Linked DNA regions of Arabidopsis thaliana. The protein of the gene in region 3 interacts with the protein of the main gene of each other region in a pairwise test. Each region holds a gene or a part of one and is shown on either strand. Other genes may lie near its edges. The genes, in order: AT5G11700, SESA1, AT5G42220 and AT3G26700.

What was found.
Region 1: the proteins of AT5G42220 (region 3) and AT5G11700 interact in a two-hybrid assay, tested with the Arabidopsis thaliana proteins (one large-scale study listed by BioGRID).
Region 2: the proteins of AT5G42220 (region 3) and SESA1 interact in a two-hybrid assay, tested with the Arabidopsis thaliana proteins (one large-scale study listed by BioGRID).
Region 4: the proteins of AT5G42220 (region 3) and AT3G26700 interact in a two-hybrid assay, tested with the Arabidopsis thaliana proteins (one large-scale study listed by BioGRID).

What each region holds. Positions count from the first base shown.
Region 1 is NC_003076.8:3,768,445-3,773,231, forward strand, and holds the start of AT5G11700 (ephrin type-B receptor), read right to left. Parts: upstream 3,006-4,787; 5' UTR 2,680-3,005; coding exon 1,838-2,679; intron 1,372-1,837; coding exon 1,256-1,371; intron 1,119-1,255; coding exon 910-1,118; intron 660-909; coding exon 540-659; intron 334-539; coding exon 202-333; intron 104-201; coding exon 1-103. Other genes in the region: AT5G11710 (ENTH/VHS family protein), read left to right, coding at 4,537-4,577, 4,669-4,720.
Region 2 is NC_003075.7:13,605,366-13,608,582, reverse strand, and holds SESA1 (seed storage albumin 1), read right to left. Parts: upstream 1,255-3,217; 5' UTR 1,221-1,254; coding exon 726-1,220; 3' UTR 552-725; downstream 1-551. Other genes in the region: AT4G27130 (Translation initiation factor SUI1 family protein), read left to right, coding at 3,058-3,094. UniProt on the Arabidopsis thaliana protein: This is a 2S seed storage protein.
Region 3 is NC_003076.8:16,870,615-16,878,271, reverse strand, and holds the start of AT5G42220 (Ubiquitin-like superfamily protein), read right to left. Parts: upstream 6,035-7,657; 5' UTR 5,778-6,034; intron 5,316-5,777; 5' UTR 5,311-5,315; coding exon 5,182-5,310; intron 5,088-5,181; coding exon 4,970-5,087; intron 4,666-4,969; coding exon 4,567-4,665; intron 4,475-4,566; coding exon 4,359-4,474; intron 4,265-4,358; coding exon 4,178-4,264; intron 4,003-4,177; coding exon 3,808-4,002; intron 3,721-3,807; coding exon 3,651-3,720; intron 3,579-3,650; coding exon 3,424-3,578; intron 3,293-3,423; coding exon 3,128-3,292; intron 3,051-3,127; coding exon 2,979-3,050; intron 2,908-2,978; coding exon 2,790-2,907; intron 2,713-2,789; coding exon 2,470-2,712; intron 2,397-2,469; coding exon 2,248-2,396; intron 2,165-2,247; coding exon 1,973-2,164; intron 1,852-1,972; coding exon 1,321-1,851; intron 1,097-1,320; coding exon 959-1,096; intron 880-958; coding exon 817-879; 3' UTR 795-816; exon of another isoform or gene 540-794; intron 171-539; and 1 more.
Region 4 is NC_003074.8:9,807,934-9,813,217, forward strand, and holds AT3G26700 (Protein kinase superfamily protein), read left to right. Parts: upstream 1-1,648; 5' UTR 1,649-2,492; exon of another isoform or gene 2,493-2,656; 5' UTR 2,657-2,735; coding exon 2,736-2,886; intron 2,887-3,003; coding exon 3,004-3,212; intron 3,213-3,300; coding exon 3,301-3,427; intron 3,428-3,527; coding exon 3,528-3,602; intron 3,603-3,682; coding exon 3,683-3,866; intron 3,867-3,952; coding exon 3,953-4,085; coding exon of another isoform or gene 4,086-4,159; coding exon 4,160-4,423; 3' UTR 4,424-4,741; downstream 4,742-5,284.

The DNA.
Region 1 (4,787 bases), about 13 Mb from region 3:
AAACAAGCCGTTGTGCTTCAATTGAATCCCCTGGTCCAGTTAGATTCAAGAAACCTTGTCCATGGACTCCAAGATTTGCATTTGACCGAATGACAGATGATCCCTATATTTGGATAGAGAGGTCACACACAAAAATTAGATGCGACGCTATGTCACAAATTACTTTTAAGGAGAAAAACTATGACATGAGTTTGTGAGTACCCTAAGAACGAATAAATTGCTAGCCTCAAGCATGGAAGTTGAAACAGTTGTATCTCCTCCTCCTCCATCTAAATGCAATTCTGAGTTCCACATCAAGAACATCTTGACAGTCATGCGTAATGCCCCGTAAACCTGATGCATACCAATAAACATAAACATGATGAACAAGTGATTAACATGAATACCAAAACAGTACATGGAGTGTGAAGAACGGCCAGGTAAGCCAAGAGTGAAGCAGATCTTAGCAACAGAAAGAAATATTCATATCTGACGTAGACAGACACAATGCTGTTGCATCCCCATTTTCTAAAAAGGTAGAGAATCAGGATAATACTCACCTTGATGGTAGAATCACTCATTAAGAGTTCTTCTGCCAACAACTCAAATACTGATGTACCATAATGAGCTAATCCGAAGCTCAAAACACCACCGCACAACAAACTAATTTGTCCTTGAACCTACATATTGAGTTCTGTTTGAGTACTCCAATTCATCAATTTTGCAAGATAATATGCTGAAAAACAAGAGTTCCACTAAATACCTTTTAAGAAAACATATATAGAGGCGACACAACAGACACTAGATATACAAAATAAAAGATAGTAATCTTTGTAAATACGATCACAAATAGTGCTAACATAAACACTGCAAGGAGAAAGATCAGTAAGCCTACAAAGCCCATGTACTGGATATTTATTTTCTAAATACCTGGACACGACTCCATAACAGAGGACAAGTTGCGCGTGCTTTATCCTGAATATAAACATTGGTCCAAAGTGGCTGGAATGGAAATTCTAAGAGAAGCGTATACGTGTCTGTTGTCTGATTGTAGTTGCTAACGAAAAGGCTTCGGGGAACAGCATCATATAGAGTTCCAGCAGCACCCGAGTTATCTGGACATCCGATACTGTATCCGCCTGTGTTTAGGAAGATAAGATCAGTTTACATGATTGTTAATGTTAGGCAAGCACGTATTGGTTATACTGGCTCAAAACAAAAACCGTGAATCAAATGAGCAAATGTAAACAAAATAACCAAGTAAAGAGAATCGAACCATGCACAAAAATCTTCGGGTCATCATGCCTACTAAAAATATCGACAGATACTCTTCCACCACCCCCACCACCATAACCACTCCCACCACATGCACTGATCTTTCCAATTCCAGTCCTGCACTTCAAATAACAGCAAAGCAGAGGATGCTAGCTAAAATCAATTTACCAAGAATCTAAGAAGACAAAAGGCTCACTACCAACCTTTTAAAATAAGCAAAGAAAATGAGTTGTTTCATGTGTATCATACAACAGCAGACAACACATTTTGGAGAGATATGAGCAAGATCTAAATTCTTTCGAAATATATATTGTCATAAATAAGATTCATGCTTAATCACATACTTCCAATTGAGAACAGAAACTCACATTTCTAGAATATTATTATGAAACGAAAGTGCAATTTTGTATCATTTCTAGAAACTCAACTTGTCCTAAGGTAAGATTATGATCTTAAGAAAATATCAGGACCAAGCAAGTACTGTAAATTTTGCATTCCCTGCTGACTATAAGTAATTTAAAATATATGCATTTAATCTAATTAACAGCTAGTGAAAGAGAGCATAGAAACGAAAGTTGATTACATCTTGTATGCCTTGATGTAGATGCTGCCACCAGATCCACCACCGCCTTTGGCTCCTCCATAGCCTCCGTTTGCCAAAAGGCTTCCGTTAACATCCAGAAGCTGCAGAATATCCATCTTCACTTTCCCACCTCCTCCTCCTCCATAATCAATCTCTCTACTAGTTGACCCTCCTTTACTACCATAGCTCCACGGCTTCTGCAGAGTCGACCAAGAGTATGCATCACCTCCCCACACATCTTCAGGTAGCTTCTTAGTGTCAGTCAAACAACAAGCGCCTCTACCACCATGTCCACCACCAGCACCATCAATCCCCTGCGGTGTCCCACTGGTCTGTGGCGGAGGGCTCCCAGCTAACCCCGTCGTGTTCACCGCCGACCCATTAGCAAAGCTAGCATTACCAGCTGTAAGCTCCAATGTCCCAGCGACAATTGTAGATTCCGCTCCCAAAGAGAAGTTTCCAGAAACATTGATAGCTATAGAACAACCAGGGATCGGGCAGTGAAACCTAACACCAGGCAGGATGATAAAATTCCCCTTCCCAGCTATATACACATCGTGCGTAAGGTTCAAATCGGCGACAATCTTACAAGTAGTATCCAAAAACCCAACGCCGCCGAGATCCTCGCTACAAGATACCGACGGTCCATGCGGTGGTGGCGGTGGCGGAGCAGGCGGAGAGTAGTCCTGATGGAAAAGTAACGACTCTGAATCTGAGTCCAAATCGGAATCAGAACCCGATTTCGGTTCCACAATGGTAAATCGATAGCTTGAACTAGGGTTTACGGCCAAAACCGCAAGAGCGACCAAGACGAAGACGCAGCAAAATTGAAATCGAGCCATCCACTAGTATCAAGAGTCATCACAGACGAAGTCTACTAAGGTTTTCGATTCAACCCCAATTCGGATCATTGAGAAGAATAAACTGGAAAAACCAACCTCAGAGACACAAATTCACAAACAAACCTTCTCTTCTAAATCTCCAACACACAACAACACTTATGCATACATCAACATACGCATGTATACGTATTTTAGTCGTCTCGTTGAAGAAGAAAAGCGCATAAACCTTCACCGAAAAATGGGGTCTTAGAGAGAGAAGTGGTGCTTTTCCTTTCTCGGAGGAGAGAGAAAGAGAGGGAAGGGAGCTTCCAAGAAGAAAAGAAAACACAGGTTGGAACGGAGAGTAGTTACGATCTGGTACGTGCAAGTTCACCGTAATCAGGTAAATCTTAACAAATCATACTACGCCACGTCATTCTTTAGATTGCTCTAAAAGGAAATACTACTGTGCATCGTGGTTCACATGGAACTGGATGTGGCAGCGGTATCCTAATTTATTTTGACATCGAATTAAATTAGGACACGTGTCTAACTACGTTTAATTACTCGCTTTGCTGTTGGATATTAAGGGGTTAATGACTTGGTTTTTAAAATTTTTAAAACGTCAGGAGTTACGTTCGGACATTGAAAGGTGTTAAGAATTGGGCTTTGATGGGCCCTGTTTGTGAAGGAGTTTGATATGGACGCGCCAAGATTTGAGCGTGAGTGTTTTTTGTTTGATATTGAGAAACAGAATGCGTGTGACCTGGACGAAGTAAAAACAAAAATTAAACAAATCTGGCTGGCCCAATAGAAAACTAGCAGCATTATCAACACCAACATTTTAATCCATCACACCAATCTTTCAATCACTTCGATTTTCACGTTCTAAATGCAAAATGGTATTTTTTTTCTAATGTCAATGTATGGTTCACCCAAAATGATAAGGTACTGTTGTGTATGCTAATTTCTAAACAACTTTATAGCTTCAAAGCATATGAAATCCAAAATTAGATTTTAGTGATTAGACTACATGTATTGGGGACACTCTATGTTCAAAGTAAGAGATTGTGCATGGTCAGCAAAAACTAATTTAAACTAGTGGGATACGTGATGTATAATCTGATATTACGTGGTTTATTGGTTGGTACCAGAGTTAAAAACAAATGCAATTTGACTCGTATATGACTCATCATGCTGACTTCTTCAATAAGACAATTGTAGTAGATATATTTAATATAGAAAAATGGGTATATAATGTTATAAACTTAATCTTATCTGACCAACAATATTCAACTGGATTATATTTTTTCCCCCAGAAAAGGATTTTATTGCATTAAACTTAAAACGTTTACAAAGTAAGGTATAGAAGAGAGTAATATGATCTTCACTAACAACATTCATTACTGGAAAAATTATATATATAATCCATTCGGAGCCATTTCGTTGAAGTGCTTTAAAGTATTCAACTAAATTATTTCGTGAAGTGGTTCGGATAAATTATATTTGGATAATATTTCGAAGAATTTACCTTAGGTCTTAAAACTCGTTGTGTTATTTACTGAAACGAAATGGATTCAATTTTTTTTTGTTGTATACATGTAGGTTATTGAACAACCCACCAATAGCCGTGACTATCGGAGACTGCGGATCAGGCTACGGTCAGGTCGAATTTACAGTCATTTGACGCCTTTAAAAACTAATTACGCGAGAAAATCGGTTCTAGCTGCTAACTTTTTATTTGTTGTTGCCTTTCATTGAAAAAAAAAAAACTCATAATACAAAGACGAGCCATCTCTGATTAGATCTACACTTCTCCTCGCACCAAAATTTTGCCAGTTTTCGTTCCTTTGTTCATAACATTTTCGCGGATTCCAAATGGATTTCATGAAGGTCTTCGATCAAACTGTTCGAGAGATGTGGGTTTTCCGTTTTCTCTATCGATCCAAATCCGTAGATCTTTGGTTTTATATATTTTTTCGATTGATCTCGATTCGTTTTCAATTACAGAAAAAGGGAGGTGAATCTGAAAGTTTTGAAGGTCCCTGAGATGGAGCAAAAGGTGAATTTATTTGATTCGTATCCATATGTGCAAATTGTATCCATGATTACTAGGCAAAATGATCGAA
Region 2 (3,217 bases), on a different chromosome or scaffold from region 3:
AAAATCTCAAATCATTTTCAAATGAATTATTCAAAAATCTATGAGTGATCAGTGAATCTCAAACTGTAGTATAGTCGTTTATGGTGTCATACCATTCATAAACAAATCACAAATGGTATACTATTCTCAGATGGATTCTTAATCTCAAATCCACAATTGTACATGATTCGTAAATGAAACTTTTATTTTTTAAGTGTTCATTTTTACATGCTTCGTTATAGCTTTTTTTAAAAGAAAAAATTGGACATCAGTTTTTTAAAATTGTGCTATTAGCCACAACTCAATAATTAAACACATTTATTACTTTTTTTTGTTTGATAAAGACATACGTAAACCATTTGTTAAAAATATCAAGAAAGATCAAATTGCCAAGTCATAATTCCATTTGTCTCTACGCATTTGAAGTCTTAATTACGATTTATATCTCTGGGTAGTACTAGTCTATGATCTTTCCGTGGAGGTGGAGCGGTACTCTATAATTTTTCCAGTTCACTGGAGTAAAGTTATTTTTATGTAAGCGTCATGACTTTTTAGAGAGCAGCAATGTAACAAACAAAAAAAATATAAACAAAACTCTTATTTATTAAGTAGTGCTTACATTACCCTCAAACATCCAAAAGCTTACATTTATCATAAAACACACGATGAGGTGTGGTATGTGTCAAGTGTCAACATGTATATATCAACAACCACACTCTCATACGCTTTGAGGGTTTGTTTGAGATTTAGTAGAAAGAAGGGAATGAAGGGATGTTGAAGGGACAAACATCAACTTGCGGGATGTCGCAAACGTTGGGCAAGTGCTTGGCTGTCTGGTAAATTTTCCTGACTTGCATTGGTTGGTGCTGTCCCTGGAGTCTAACGGCCTTGGCAGCTTGTTTCAAGGTGGGGCAAACACAATCTGGCTCTTCCTGGCGAAGCTCGTTGCAGCACTGCTGGAATAGCTGTTGTTCCTGCTGTTGTCCCTGTGGGTTCTCCATGTCGTCTTCGAAATCAAACTCATCGCTACGGCCTTGCCTTGCTTGCTGGAGCATCAATTGCTGGCAAGCTCTTAGGTGTTGTTCTTTCTGAAACTCCTTGCGGCATTTCCTCATTTTTGGGCCTATGGGGTTAGTGGCGTCATCTTCTTCGAACTCAACGACGGTGCGGTAGATGGAAGCGTTGGTGAGGAGGAAGCAGAGAGCGAGAGCTGCGCAGACGAGGAACAACTTGTTTGCCATTTTTTGCTATGTGTGTATGTTTTGGTTCGAGTGAAGAATGTGGTGAAGGTGTGGTTGGTATTTATAGGTGAGAAAAGAGACTTGCATGGAGTTCACGTGTAAGAATACATGCATATGTTTGTTTGTATGCGAGAGCTATATGATTGTTGTCGTGATTAGGTGTTGGAAACTCAAATGTAAAGGAAGTGACAAGTTTCCGCGTCTACTTGCAATATGCAACCATGTGTAACTCATGTTCTGACATGTCAATTATTTTGAAATGACTAGTTGAGAGTCAATACGGAAAGAGTAGTAGTGTGTCAATAAATGTTTTTGGAGGTTAATTCTGAAATACATAAAAGTTTTAGCATCTTGAAAAATTACTTATACACGCAGGTCACCGGTCCATTGGATATTGTCTATTGATGGTAAGACAATATATGGATAAAGATAAGCTTAATGTTTTTCACTCCCAAAGTAATGTATGTCTAAGAATGTTATGGACGGGTGACAAAAACTAGTCCTCTCACGTTTCACCGTGACAAAACATACGGACACGAGTAGTTAGGATATTTAGAATTATTATTCCAAGTGTCTCTTAAAATACATATGTTGGTTATTCAGGTATCATATACATGAAACCACTTTATGAACTACCACTAAATCGGATAAAAGTGAGATTTTGATTAAGAAATCTCATATATATAACACTAATTTTTCCAAAAATGCTTAAAAATCAAATTTTGTTTTTACCGAAAACGAATCTTGGTTTAATTTGGTACCAAATATATATCACTCTAAACCGAACCAAAATCCACCGCATCGTAACCAAAACAAAGCTCTGTTTCGTTCAAATTGATAAAATAAAATAAAATACCAAACCGCAAAATTGAAATTCCAAAATCTCCAAATAACCGGAATGCCTAGCTCTCTCTATCCATGGAAAAAATAAAATAAATATCTAAAGAAAAGCTGCTAAAGAGACTGTGAGACAAAAACGACGATATTTTCCTCTTCCTCTCATTATTTTTGTTCTCGCCACCGAAACAACAGAAGTTGCAGACTTTATCCGAATTTAGGGTTTCAGCTCGTTCTCTCTTCTCCAATTATCAGATCCACGAAACTCTACTTTTCGGATCAGGTAAAATCTTATCTTCTTCTGATTGCGTTTGTCATCTTCTTAAGCAGATTTCACAAATTGCGTTTTGCTATTTCTTTGATTTCGGTAATTTCGAGGTGAAGTTTGTTTTCATTGCCCGATCCATATAATTTTGGAGTTTGTTGATTTGTTTTCGTTCGTCAGATTGGTATATCGTCTTTCGTATGTCCCTGAAGATTGTACGCTAGCTTTTGTTTAGGATCTGTCGAATTTGCTGCTGACTTTAGAAAATTGGATCTTCCTTTGATCTGCTGTGGATTGATGTAATTTGTTTAGATCATATCCTGTAATTGAGCTGGACCTGCTTAACTAGGTTCCTGGGACTAGGATACAGAACATACAATTTATTTATGAAGATGGCATCTTGCTCATTTCGAATCTTATGTTGCAAATGATAATTCTGGAGTTGGTTTCTTAGCTGAGGTTTTAGTTTCCCCATCTGGTTTATATATCACTAATCTCTAGATGAACATGGCTTGTATTTGGATTGTGTGTTTTATCTTGCTATGTGTATTATGCGTTCCCTGTGTTCTTTAACTGTTTTCTAAGACCTTATTAATACTTATTTTGCTTTTCTCGATTGTGGTGTAGCACTTGTTTATTATTTGTTTATGAGTGTGCCAAATTCTTATCCTCCGATGGCCTTCATGTTCAGGTCTCAGCTTCTCTATCGTTTGCCCCTCAGATCAACAAAGTTTCATGTCTGAACTTGATTCCCAGGTCCCTACTGCCTTCGGTAAGTTTCAATTATACCAACGCTCATTTAGATCTATTTCAGATGTTTGGTAACAGTTTTGATTGGAACATGGGCTTTTGTAAATTTGTTTCTCAAGTCTTGGATTCTTCAGCTTGTGGTTTG
Region 3 (7,657 bases):
AATTATTTGCAAAACTCATCACAAAAGACAGCTTGTCTTAGGAATGTTCATGATCTCCGATGTCGCTAAGTCATGGCTCGCTGATCTTGAAAATCTCTGAACCCATGATGTTTTAGTTCAATTTTGTCGTCATCCTTAATTTTTCCGGTGGTGATCAATTGTTCACAACCCTTGAATACGTAAAACCATAAAACAAATTTTAATAATCTTTTAGAAATTAAATATAAAATAAAACAATATTATTAATTTGTCATAATCCAAAATTATAAATTTGTACAACAAAACAAACACAACAACTTTGTAATTTTAAACATATTAAAAATTCATAGTAAATTTTATAATATATAATTTTTTATAAAAATTAAATAATATATAACATCTTATTATTGGGGTTGTCGTGACAGTTCATTTTTCTGAATTATTCTACTATTTATTAGTTTACATTCCATATTTATTGTGCAATCTTTATTACCTATTTGTTAAGGAATTAAACTAAATATATAATTTGCTACAGTCACTCGTTAGTGTAGCCCTTTAGCCAAATTTTCGATCAAAACCAAAATTGTCAGTTATAAAGGGACACCTTTTTCCCAAGTAATTTGGTCAATGTCGAGAGTTATGAGTAATCTCTGGTTAAAGATGGAAATATCAAATTGAATCGGCCCTTTAGAGACCAGATAAATTACGTTTGCTTATGTTTAGCAGAGTATAGACCATCCCAAACCCTAATTCTTAATACATAAGTGAGGGATCTCAGCAAATAAACAAAGATACTTCAAAGATATGACACTTACAGAACCAATTCAACCAAATATCTTATAGACCTTGATCATCTTTTAGCCGGCCTTCGATATCACGTCTTAGCAACTCCGCATATTCCTGCAACACTCAAATACAAGTCTGATCAAGGAGTCTTTATTTTTATTAAACAAACAAACTAGTCAGTTTTGATGCTTACTTGAGAAAGAGCTTCATCACAGCAAAGCTCGTTCACTAGTTCGTCTTGGCTTATCGCAGCATTTTCGACCATTGCACGGAAGACATCCTCTGGTGGATCAGAGTGCTCAATCATTTGAGCCATGGATTGAACATTTACCTATTTGGAAAAAGTAGAAAAATAACATTCATTACACGAGATAGAACAAGAGACAATGACGTTTATTGTAATACCTAGGTAAGAATGGTGTTACTTTTTCTACAACTAAAAAAAGACAACAACAAAATCCTACTCAGTCGATAATAGTATCAGTTTTTCTTCAGCCACATTTTTTTCCTAAATCAAAAACGCAAGAAATCCAAACCTAACACTCGTAGATGTACCTGAGAAGGTTGACGATCATCAGGCTGTATTGTTGCGGGATGAGGCAATGGCCCTCCTTGGCTAAAAGCACGTGAGACTAGAGGCATCATTTGTTGGACCATTCTAGAGAAATCAAAGCCGCCGCCCTCGCCTTGAGCTCCACCTGACATCATATTTTCTATCTCTTGCCCATCCACCTGTTGCGCAATCTGTTGGACTGTGTTCATGATCTGTGGATTCTGGGTAAACTGCTGGAGCATATTTCTCAGCATATTTGGTGAATCAACACCAGCTTGTCGAGATACCCCTGCTAGCAATCCATCCAATACAGGGCTCTCCAGGACCTGAGACATTGCACTTGAGACATCTACACGATCATCTGAACCTTGCCCGCGTCTAAGACCAGTCTCATCTGAACGAGAACTACCAGAAAAGAGAGATTGCAAAAGCTGCTGACCACTGGTCCCACTGCTTTGTTGCACACCTTCAAGTGTAGCTGAAGTCCCGCTATCTTCAGTCTTACCTGATACCTTCGGCTGCTTGCTTCGTTTCTTTAACCAAAAAAAACATACTATGACTGTAAGCATTTGGAACTATGACACTTGTGGATATGCTATGCAATGAAAAACAAGCAGCAGCAACTTGACGCTTATTTTTCAACTGATTCATTACCTTACGGTCTAAACCGCCAAGCCCCAATCCAAGTGGTGTAGCTGTAGCTACCTCTGGAGTAGCCTTATTGGTTTCTTTGGCATCACCGGTAGCATCTCCAGACGGAGCTGATGATTGTCCTGTAGTACAAGAGGTATCTTTTGCTCGGGCTGGATGCTCTAAATCTCCACCAAGATCTTTTTCATTTTGACACTGGTTGAAAAAACAAAAATTAGTGGTAGGCTAACCCTGGTGAACATAAAATAAAGAATCATCTGATTGCAGAGAAGACATACCACTGAGTTGCTCCTCTCAGATGGTAAGTCATGCAGTGAGCCACTAGACGACTCAGGTGCGCAAGTAGTTGCAATGTTGGTAGGCTGCTCAGGCATAGCAGTGGCAACACCATGGCCCGTAGACATATCCCTCTCGAGAGATTCTATTCCTGATTGACACGTGAAGAAGAGCTTGAAAACATTTCGTCCACAATGTAAAACTTTAGTCAGCAGGAAACCTACCCGATGGAATCTGGTCTCTTCCTTGCATAATGTTTACCATATCTCTTATCCTTGCATTGATTTGAGCAACTGAAACATCATCACCCAAACCAGGTTGAACCCCAGCAGAAACGTTCTCACCGGTAGAGTGTGATGGAACAGCCGCAGGAACTGAACTTGTATTGCTGTCACGGTCTCCTTGTCCTCCTTCTCCATTGCTTCGCTGGTTCCCAACTGATGACAACATAGGTGAACCTGATGTGCCTGGTAATTAAGTATGAATTTTAATGGAGAAGAATTGTGCAGCTAAGTCCAATAGCAAAAAAGTGAACTTCACCCACCAGCATGTATGTGAATATTAATGTGCCTTTGGGCAGTTCCTAAACCAACAGGTCCGGTTAGTGGATTTGATGAGACAGTAGCACCAGTAAAGAGAGGGCTGATTTGGTGAGGAAAAGGCTGCAAAATACAGTAATAATTACATAAAAGTAGAAAATTAATTTAGAAAAAAGATGAGACTAGAAGCTTACCTGAACCATAATAGGATTCGGTCCTGATGGAGATATATACACAGCAGGCCCTGCATTCACATAGGATAATTCCTGTAGATCAAAGTGTTAATGAGCCGCATGTCAAGAATGAATAGGAAAATGCACGAAAGGAATGACCCAAAACGCACCGGCGACGGTGCCATTCTCAATGTCAAAATTGTGCGTCCAAGCTCCAGTAGGAGGGCCCCTAAATGTTGCATGGCAAGACCTACTTGCACGGCCTCTGTCTGGATTTGTGACCTTAGAGTAGGATCTGAAGATGAACCATCTTGCTCCAGACGTCCCGCAATATGCTACAACAATGTTTTTGCAAATTACAAACAGCACATAATTAGATGACAATGCATGGTAACCATATACATAACAGTTCTTGTAAAGAGAAAGAATGGAATCAATTAATAAGCAGTGTGAAGAAGGTGTTTACCGATAAAGAAGAGACACCGAGACCACTCAGTAAATGTTGTGCATTCCTTAGGACAACAGAGAGTGCTTCAGGTGTTGCTGCACCTCGTCTATTTCTAGGCAACTCTTCCCTTGGTCGCCCTCCGGATCCAGCAGAAGAGGTATCTGGCTGATAGCCTGGAGGAACATCCAATTAACTTATTTATGTGTTCTCTATCCAATATGACAATAAAACTTAGATCACAATACCATTTTGTGATAATGCCTGCTCCATCCGATTAATGAACTCCATTAGAGTGTCTAAGGAATCCGGAATAGGCTGCAGAATTAGAGAGTTACATTGTAAAATGACAAGATTAAAGCTCTAGTCTCAAGATCAAAATACTACTACGTGACTAAGAACTACCGTTAAGAATGAAGGGATAGGAATCGTTGTGGCTGCTGTAACAGGAATCTGAACTACACGAGGCATCGATGTTTGAAATGATACACCAGGAAATGCTTGCCTAGGTTGTGAATGACCCGTAGCTTGGCTTTGACCACCAATGCCAGGCTCTCCATCAGATGTATTTCCAGGAGGTGCATTAGACGACTGATTCGACTAGGAAAAATAAAAGCGCATGCAACATCGAGTTTAGAAACAGGCAATAGTTGATGACAATATGAAACCTTACACATCAAATAGTAACAACACCTGATTCTCAACAATCCTTAATGTAGACTAAGCACTAATATGGAATAAATTCGAAATAGAGAGTGACGAGAAAAAAACTCACGGGCATAGAGGATTGCGTGCCATTAGTACTGTGATTTGTAGGAAGCTGTCCACTAACTCCAAAAGAATTTAGAACTGCTCCAATGACCTTAGTAGTTAGCAACACAAAATTAAAAGCAGGTTAGCCTAACTAATCAAACCATCCCATAGGCCAAACAATATCACAAATCCTTGGGGATTACCCGGCTGAGGTCTGGAACAATGCCTTCTGTCTGATCTCCAACATTAAAAGACCCAAGAACTACGCTGTGGGAGACATGTCTTCCATTTCGAGATGGTCCACCATTTGTATTATTTCCTGTTGAATTAAATAACAAGTTGAAATAAGATGATGGTTGTGTTAACAGCTCTTTTAAAACTCAGAAAGGGGATAAAAAATAACTTGATTACCATCATTTGCAGTTGCCCCTTGTGAAGGTGTACCAGAGGAAGGAGCTGATTCTGCTGGCTGCCTCACAATCAAGTGTAAAGTATGCCCATTTTCCAAATCTATGACGATGTCAAGTTATCAACTATACTGAAAGTAGAAAAGCGATGGAAGGAAACGACAGACATAAACTAAAACTAAGCTTATCGAAGGTATATATATATATATAGTTCTCTTTCTGGATTACAGCTTCCTCTACGGTGTAAGACTCACAAAAGCAGAGATGCACTTGATCAATCAAAAACTAGACTTCCGACAGATTTGGTTAACATGCATTTTATACACAGGGCACATGGCATAATGCAACAAACAGCTACACTATAACATAAAATCAACAAGTTAACAAAGTCGCTAGCACTAGGATACGATACTCCGAGAGAGGATGATCATCTTTCAAAACCCGTCCTCGGAAAATGAGCCGCTGCTGACCAACCGGCACCCCTGTCTCACTAGCAATCTTCTCCTTGAATAGCAAAACAGTTTCCTGCAACAAGTCAAGCCCTAAGCAGTATCAGATATAAGCAAACTAAACTTAAGCAAATATGCAGGTGAAGCAGAAGAAGAAGAAGATTTCTTACATTCTTGTTCACTTGGAAAGTATACGTCCGCGAGTCTAACGTTTTGATGTTAAGCTCAAGGGTTGATTCTGGAGTTTTCTCCGACGCATTGGTGCTACTAGAGCACTGGTTAATGGGTTGATCTTCCATGAACCCTAAAGTATTAAAATTTAAAAAACATAAAGCTTGTAAATTCATCTTACAAAAGAATGATCTCATAATAAACAATATTATCTCTAGGGTACTCAAATCAAAACCTTTACCACACACATTTCCAGATATTGATCATACAAAACAGAATCAACAATGAGACACAAACAAATGACATAACTAAATGCTAGTCATTGTAACAAAAGACCAAATCCTATATATATGCAAGTCATTGTAATAAAAATGCTAAAAATCAAAAACTTTCACCATCCAAAGCCACAAACAAAAGACCCAGACCCAAATAAATGCAAGTCATTGTAATATCACTGTTCAAAAATCAAAACTTTCACCGTCCAAACCCAAAAACAAATCTGCTAAGGCAAAAACAGAGCCTATAGATACGGAAAAAAAGGATCAAGATTTAAGAAAAAAACAATCAAATTCCATGAAGGCAACGAAGAACGAACCTATTTGCCGTCGTGGGGTATTGAAAAATTGAAACTTTGGCGGAACAAAAGACTCTCCGATTGAAATCTAGAGAAGTATCTCAAAGTTGAAACACGAAACCAAACCTGATGTGTTCAGAGTTAAAGGGGAAGAACAAGGGCGATTGTGTCGGGAACTCGGGATTTTGGTGAAATTGAAAAGAAAAAGAAGAATCTAGAGGAGGAAGATACAACGACGACGTTTTGAAAACCTGAATTGACGCTTCCGCGAATATAGGCCTAGTCTCCGCTCTAAATGTGGACTCTTCTATTAATAATATAAAGCTGGGCCTGGCCTTTTTAACCATATCTAAAATAAATTTTAAACATGTGCTTCTTTTTCTGTTTTATTATGTAATTTTGATTTCTAATATTTAAGTATTTAAGTTTACACATAACTGGATTAATCATGAAGATTATGGTTTACATATAACTGAAACGAATCTATGTTATTGTTGTCGTTAATAATGGTTATTATTTTATTATTTTTTGTCATCAAATTATATTAATGTTCAAATGAGTCAACTTTAGAAAAAATTGTTTACATATATGAAGCGATTCAGTACGAATTTTTCGTGCCAAAGTATTCGTTCTAACATTTGCAGTATAAGAGATTAGAGATAGAAACAAGCTTGAGATTTTTTTATTGTCACTCAGGCAAATCTTTCAAAATTGTAGAATACACCGGCCATTAGGTTAGGGAAAACACTATATTCATTAGGTTTGAACAGTCTGTGAAAAACACTACATGTTGGTTATGTGTCGAAAGATCATTTAAAGTTTAGTCTGACAATTTTGCGGCAGTGTATATGCAAACAACAACAAAAGTAGAACAATCAAAGCATATAGACATAGAGTGTCATATTGTGTGAGAAAGGATTCAAGATGATGTGGTTTCAGTTAAGCATATAGGTAGAAATTTCATGAAAGCGGATCCGTTAACTAAAGGTATTCCACCTAAAGTTTAGTCCACATTATTAGTTAAAATACAAAAACAACTAGATTTTAACCTGTGGTATACCGCGGGAACAATTTATTTTTTAAAGTTAGTATATATAAAAGTTTACAAATTGTATCTATCTATAAAATAATTTTATTTTATAGTTTACAAATGTTATTAAGTATCGTCCTGTCAAACCCGTCCTGTAAAAAAAAAACTATTTATTTTATTAATGTTGATCTTATTTATGATATGTTTATGAATCATTGTCTAAATATTTTGTAATTTTGTAGTAATTAAATGCTATCAGATTATATCTCTGCGCTTTGATGATTATAATCGAATTGTTATAGTTATGGAGAAAATCAATATCAAAAATGATAATTTTGTAGTAATTAAATGATATTAAATATTTTGGAAGTATTATTTTAGTAAATAATCGTGTAGTTAATGTGGAGATATTTTGGGAAGATTGTTAAATGTCAAATATTTAATTCGAATATTTTCTTTTTAATTATCAAAAACAAACATTAAAATCCAGTGGCAGCCATTGTAAATAAGTCACAACTAAAGGATTTATTTCACAAAATGGCTGCAAAAATGTATATATAGATTATAATAAAACATGTTTCAATTATGTCTATATATACAAAAATAATTATGATGTATATAAATAAATTTAATGATACAAATATTGGAGCTATTTTGTTGCTTTAGACAACTAAACTAACTTTGAACTCAAAAAAAGAAAGAAGATATCTAAATTAACTGAAACGGCCATTAAATATGGTGTTTCCCCTAGGAGTTATTGACTAACCTATACAAGCTATTGGTGTCTTGCTGACTTTAGATATCATAAACCCGTACACAATATGGGTTAAAAAAAAACATCAAGGATTCGACCAATGCAATTAAAACCTGT
Region 4 (5,284 bases), on a different chromosome or scaffold from region 3:
TCTAAGATGTAAGTCATGTGACATCTACCTATAAGAATCAGAAACACTAGTATGAAACATAATTAAATATTCTATTTTGATTTATAACATTGTTAATTATAATTTTGTATTAAAATGGTGAATTATAAAATAAAAATTCTTTTACTAAACTTAGATTTTACTAAATTACAAATATATGATTAATAAATGGGAAAAATGTCATTTAATTCCCCAACTTTAAAAAAATGGTTATTTTATACATCAACTTCGTATGTGCCCGTTTAAAACATGAACTAAACGTTGACTAATTTTTAAAACATGATCTTTCGTTGACCAGGCCAGAATAGACATGCCGTTATCAGTCATTAACGGAACTTTTAACGTCTGTTATCATCCGTTAACTTTATTAGTCAAGTTTCAAATTGTGGTCATTTTAAACATCAACTTCTTATTTGGCCATTTAAAACATGAACTAAACGTTGACTACCATTTAAGACATGAAAAATTCGTTAACCAGGCCAAAATAGATATGTCTTTATCAGTAGAACCTAGAAATAATGACTGTTAATCTGTCCAAAACAACGTCGTTTGAGAATAATCGAAAGAACACAAAGATTTTTTCCATATAAAATCTCCATATCAAAAGTTTTAAGCAGAACCCAAGAACATAGTTTGATAAAGAGATAATCGCAGTGCCAGTAATTGGAAGCAAATAAAGGTGTTTTCGTTTATATATTTGTTTTAAATTTTAAAGGGAATCATGGAAGCAAATTGAAGACTCATTATAAGATTATTCGTCTTGTTTGAGCGGTTGTAGAAATAGATTTGGGGAACTGGGGTTTCATTTAGAATCTTTTGATTATTCTCAAAACAAAGTCGTTTTAGGGATACTAATAAAGTCGTTAACAAGTGATAATGAATTTTATAAGTTCTTTTAATGAATGATGACAACATGTTTATTTTGGCTTGGTCAACGAATTTCTCATGTTTTAAATGGTAGTCAACGCTTAGTTCATATTTAAAATAGTCACATATAAAGTCGGTGTTTAAAATGGCCACAATTTAAAACTTGACTAATAAAGTCGTTAACGGATGATAACGGATGTTAGAAGTTCCGTTAATGACTGATAACGGCATGTCTATTTTGGCCTGGTCAACGAATAATCATGTTTTAAAAGTTAGTCAACGTTTAGTTCATGTTTTAAACGGCCGCATACGAAGTTGATGTATAAAATAATCATTGTTTGAAAGTTGGGGGATTAATTGACATTTTTCCCATTAATAAATTGACTCTTAATGTTTAGATTAAGCTTAGAATTAACAAATCAACTGATAAGAGTTATAACAAGTTTAAGCTCTTCTTCTTCCTAAACTGAATATTATGCCAATATTTCAAATATTAGAAATAAAGGTTTTAAACTAAATGTAAATCTATGACATGACATAATCCTTTTATATTTTTGTAATAAACATAAGAATAATAGGATAGTGCAGAAAAAGCTGTGATTCCAATATAATTATGTGATTGATTGACTAAACAAAAATATGAAGTCTAAAGAATTATAAATTTCTGTAGTTATGAATCCCATCTATCATTGGTTGCTTATTAATTTATGAGAAAAATAAATTTTTATTGACAATCTTATTTGTTTTGTTTTTGGTAGTCTAATATTGAAGTACACATTTATTAAAGTAATAAAAATAAACCATTTTAAGGACACATACGAAAAAAGAAAAAAGAAAAAATAAACAGAGAGAATTGCGGAGTAAAATAAAAAGAAAAGAGAAGAAGGCAGAGACAGAGTGGTGGTCTTGTTCGTCTCCTTTCAAAACTTGCGGCGGCGGAAACTACGTTTCACGGCGGCGGTCTTAAGTTTCTTCCTTCTGAATCTTCTCTCTTAAAAAAAAAAAAAAAGTTCCCATTCGCTGTAATTGCAAACTGGCCAAGTACCCCACTTGCTTCTACTCTTGTCTTCAAAGGTTCTCTTTTTTTATTCCTTCCTTTTTTTTCACCAAATTAAACAAATGGGTTTGGTAGTTGCACAAGAGTAAAAACTAACCAAAGTAAAAAGTTTGATTCTTGTTGTTGTTGTTGCCGTTGTTGATTCTTAGTTAAGTAAGTAAAAAATTTTCGGTGAGTCTTAAGAAAGAGAGAGAGAGAGAGAGTTGTTGTCTGAAACGATGTCACTTTCTGTCGGCATTGTCTGCGTTCCGACACAAGACTTGATTTCTTCTTCTTGTTCTTCTTCTTACCCTTTTACCTTCAAGTTGTTCTAGAAGAAACTGCGGCGGTTTGATTTGATGTTTCCATTGCTCTCTGTTCCGTTTTCACACCAAGCTTTCTTGTTTCTGATTAGAAAAATAATTTGATTCCTTGAATCTGCCGATATAAGGAATTTTTTTCATTGAATGTGGAGAAAAAAAAGAATGTGGGGAATCACGTCATCGATTTTGTTGAATTTGTGTGATATTTAATCGCCGATGAAGTTGAGATTTTCTGGAGATCTGTCAAGGTTCTTTTAAAAAATACTTACTGCATGTTGATTGATTGATTTTTACAAAGTTGACACCTTTTCTTTTTTTACCTCTCAAGCTCCTCTGTTTGCTTTTAAAACTGTCTCTTCTGTTTTTTTTTTTTTCTTTTCGCCGACATTCTTGTTTTATTCTTTCTCTCCAGGGTTATCGCATGGTAGTAGAAGCTTGGAGCATCGGTGAGGAAAAGAGAAAGAGAGAGAGAAGGCAGTTTTGTTTTCCAAATGTCAGCAATTCTTGCAGCTGCCATTGGTGGTGCTGTAGGAGCTCTTGCATTGATTGCTTTGTTTGTTTTTCTCCTTTGGTTTTGTGTCTTTCGTCGTAAGAATCTGTCTAGAACTTCTGAGACTGGCTCTTCTGATCCATCTACTCAAGGTAAATCACAAATCCCATCAATTCTATTCCTCTCTCTCTCTCTCTATTGACTTTCTTGGATGATATCAAAATGATTTAGACTTTTTTTTCTTTTGTTATATGTTTGTGTGAGTTCAGAAGGAAGAAATGTTGCAATTGAGTTGTCAATGAGAGAAGCTAGAAGATTTGAAATGGAGGAACTTGCTCAAGCCACCAAGAGTTTTACCAATAAAAGTCTTATTGGTATTGGCAAATTCGGCGAGGTTTACAAAGGTTTGCTTCAAGATGGTGTTCTTGTAGCTATCAAGAAAAGACCTGGTTTGCCTACTCAAGAATTTGTTAACGAGGTTTCTATAATTAATCTTGTTCAAGTGTTTGCTTTTAGTCTTCTTAGACCAAGTGTATTGATTGAGAGGATATGGTTTATTTCTTCAGGTTCGTTATCTATCGTCTATCCATCACCGTAATCTCGTCACTCTTTTGGGGTTTTGCCAAGAAAGCAACACACAGTTTCTTGTCTACGAGTATGTTCCTAATGGAAGTGTTTCCAGTCACCTGTACGGTAACTCTCTGTCCTTAATGTTATTTTCATTTGGTATTTAATCAGTTTGAGAAATGAGTTTGGACGATGTAAGCATCGTTTAGGTCTTTTCCTCTGTTAGGTGCTGGTGGTAAAGTACCTGGTAATAGACTAGAGTTCAGACATAGGCTTGCAATATCTATAGGAGCAGCTAAAGGTAAATCCTCTACAAAATCCTCATTGAAGCCAGCTCTAGCTTGTGTCCTGATCTTGCATATACCCTTTTGTTATCTCTAGGCTTGGCACATCTTCACTCGTTGAGTCCTCGGTTGATACACAAGGACTTCAAAACCGCTAATGTTCTTGTGGATGAAAATTTCATTGCTAAGGTTGCGGATGCAGGAGTCCGTAACTTCTTAGGAAGAGAGGATGTTGGTACATCGTCTCACATTGTTGCAGACCAGATTTTCCTCTCCCCAGAGTAAATTAAAAAGATTTCACCTTCTAAGCTCTCATATGCTTCTTTTTAGTATCAAAGTTTCTCAGATTGTCCCCTTTTTTTTTCAGGGTTCAAGAGTTCAAAAGATTTTCAGAGAAAAGTGATGTCTATGCTTTTGGTGTATTCCTCTTGGAATTAGTAAGTGGAAGAGAAGCATCAGAACCATCCCCTTCAAGCTCAACGCAAACTCTAGTCGATTGGGTATGTAATCACACTCAAAACCGTGCCAATGTAATCTATTTTGATTCTCATTTTGTATGCATTGGGAGTTGCAGATGCAAAACTTAACGGATTACGCAGATATACCAATGATGATTGATGAGAGACTAGGAGGTACATACACAGCAGAAGGAGTTGAGGAACTTATTACATTGACACTAAGATGTGTTGATGTATCAAGTGAGAAGAGACCAACAATGAGTTTTGTTGTGACAGAGCTTGAAAGAATATTGGATAAAGAAGTGAGCTTAACAACAGTAATGGGTGAAGGTACTCCAACTGTTACTCTTGGAAGTCAGCTTTTTAAAGCAACCAAGTGATTATTATAAAGGAACCATCTTTTTACATATATATACATATATATATATATATTATATAAGTTCTCTGAGACAAGAACCAATCAGAGAACTTAAGGAGGAAGAAGAAGAAGACTGATCAGCTGTTTTGTGTTAAGTGTATAAAGAACAGCTGAAGCTTATTGTTTGTTTGTTTTTTCCCTCCTTTTTCACTTCCTTTGGAGGTTATTATTTTCAGCAATTATTTTTTTGACAATGAGTGCAGAAAAGTATAACTTTGTAAAAACATTATTTATTGATATAAAGGAAGCAAAGAGTGGAATGTTGTGTGATTCTTTGTTACATTTTACTCTCTACAAAAGCTTTGAACTTAGCTTGAAAGACTTTATTGCCAAGTTGGTTGGTTGAATAAGTTTTGATGAAAAGATTCCAATTGGCTAACTGTTGAACTAACAGAAGGTGATAACTCCCTGTCTGAAGAACTCTAATTATTATGTTTGTACAGAAAAACTCAGAGCTACTTTTTCCTATAAAGTAGCCAATTTTGGGAAAGATTTTGACCTTTAGCTTCAACCTACCTATGCTTTGATAGCCTTTATTGCCAAAGGGGAGATATAGTAACCAAGTTGGTCTCTAAAGTCTTGATCAAAGATTCCAATTGGATAACAACACTCTTGGTCTTGGACTAGTATAGTTCCTACATACTCCATTTGCTACTAGTGAAAATAAACTCAATGCTCTGATTTATTACTCTGTCCCTAGTTTTGCTAAAAAACCTTTGTGGGCACACAGAACTATAAACAAACAGTCTTTGGAACAGATTGCAAAATCAAAATCATGTTTGGTCTGATTTTATGTCGGGAGAGATTGAAGATCTAATGATAA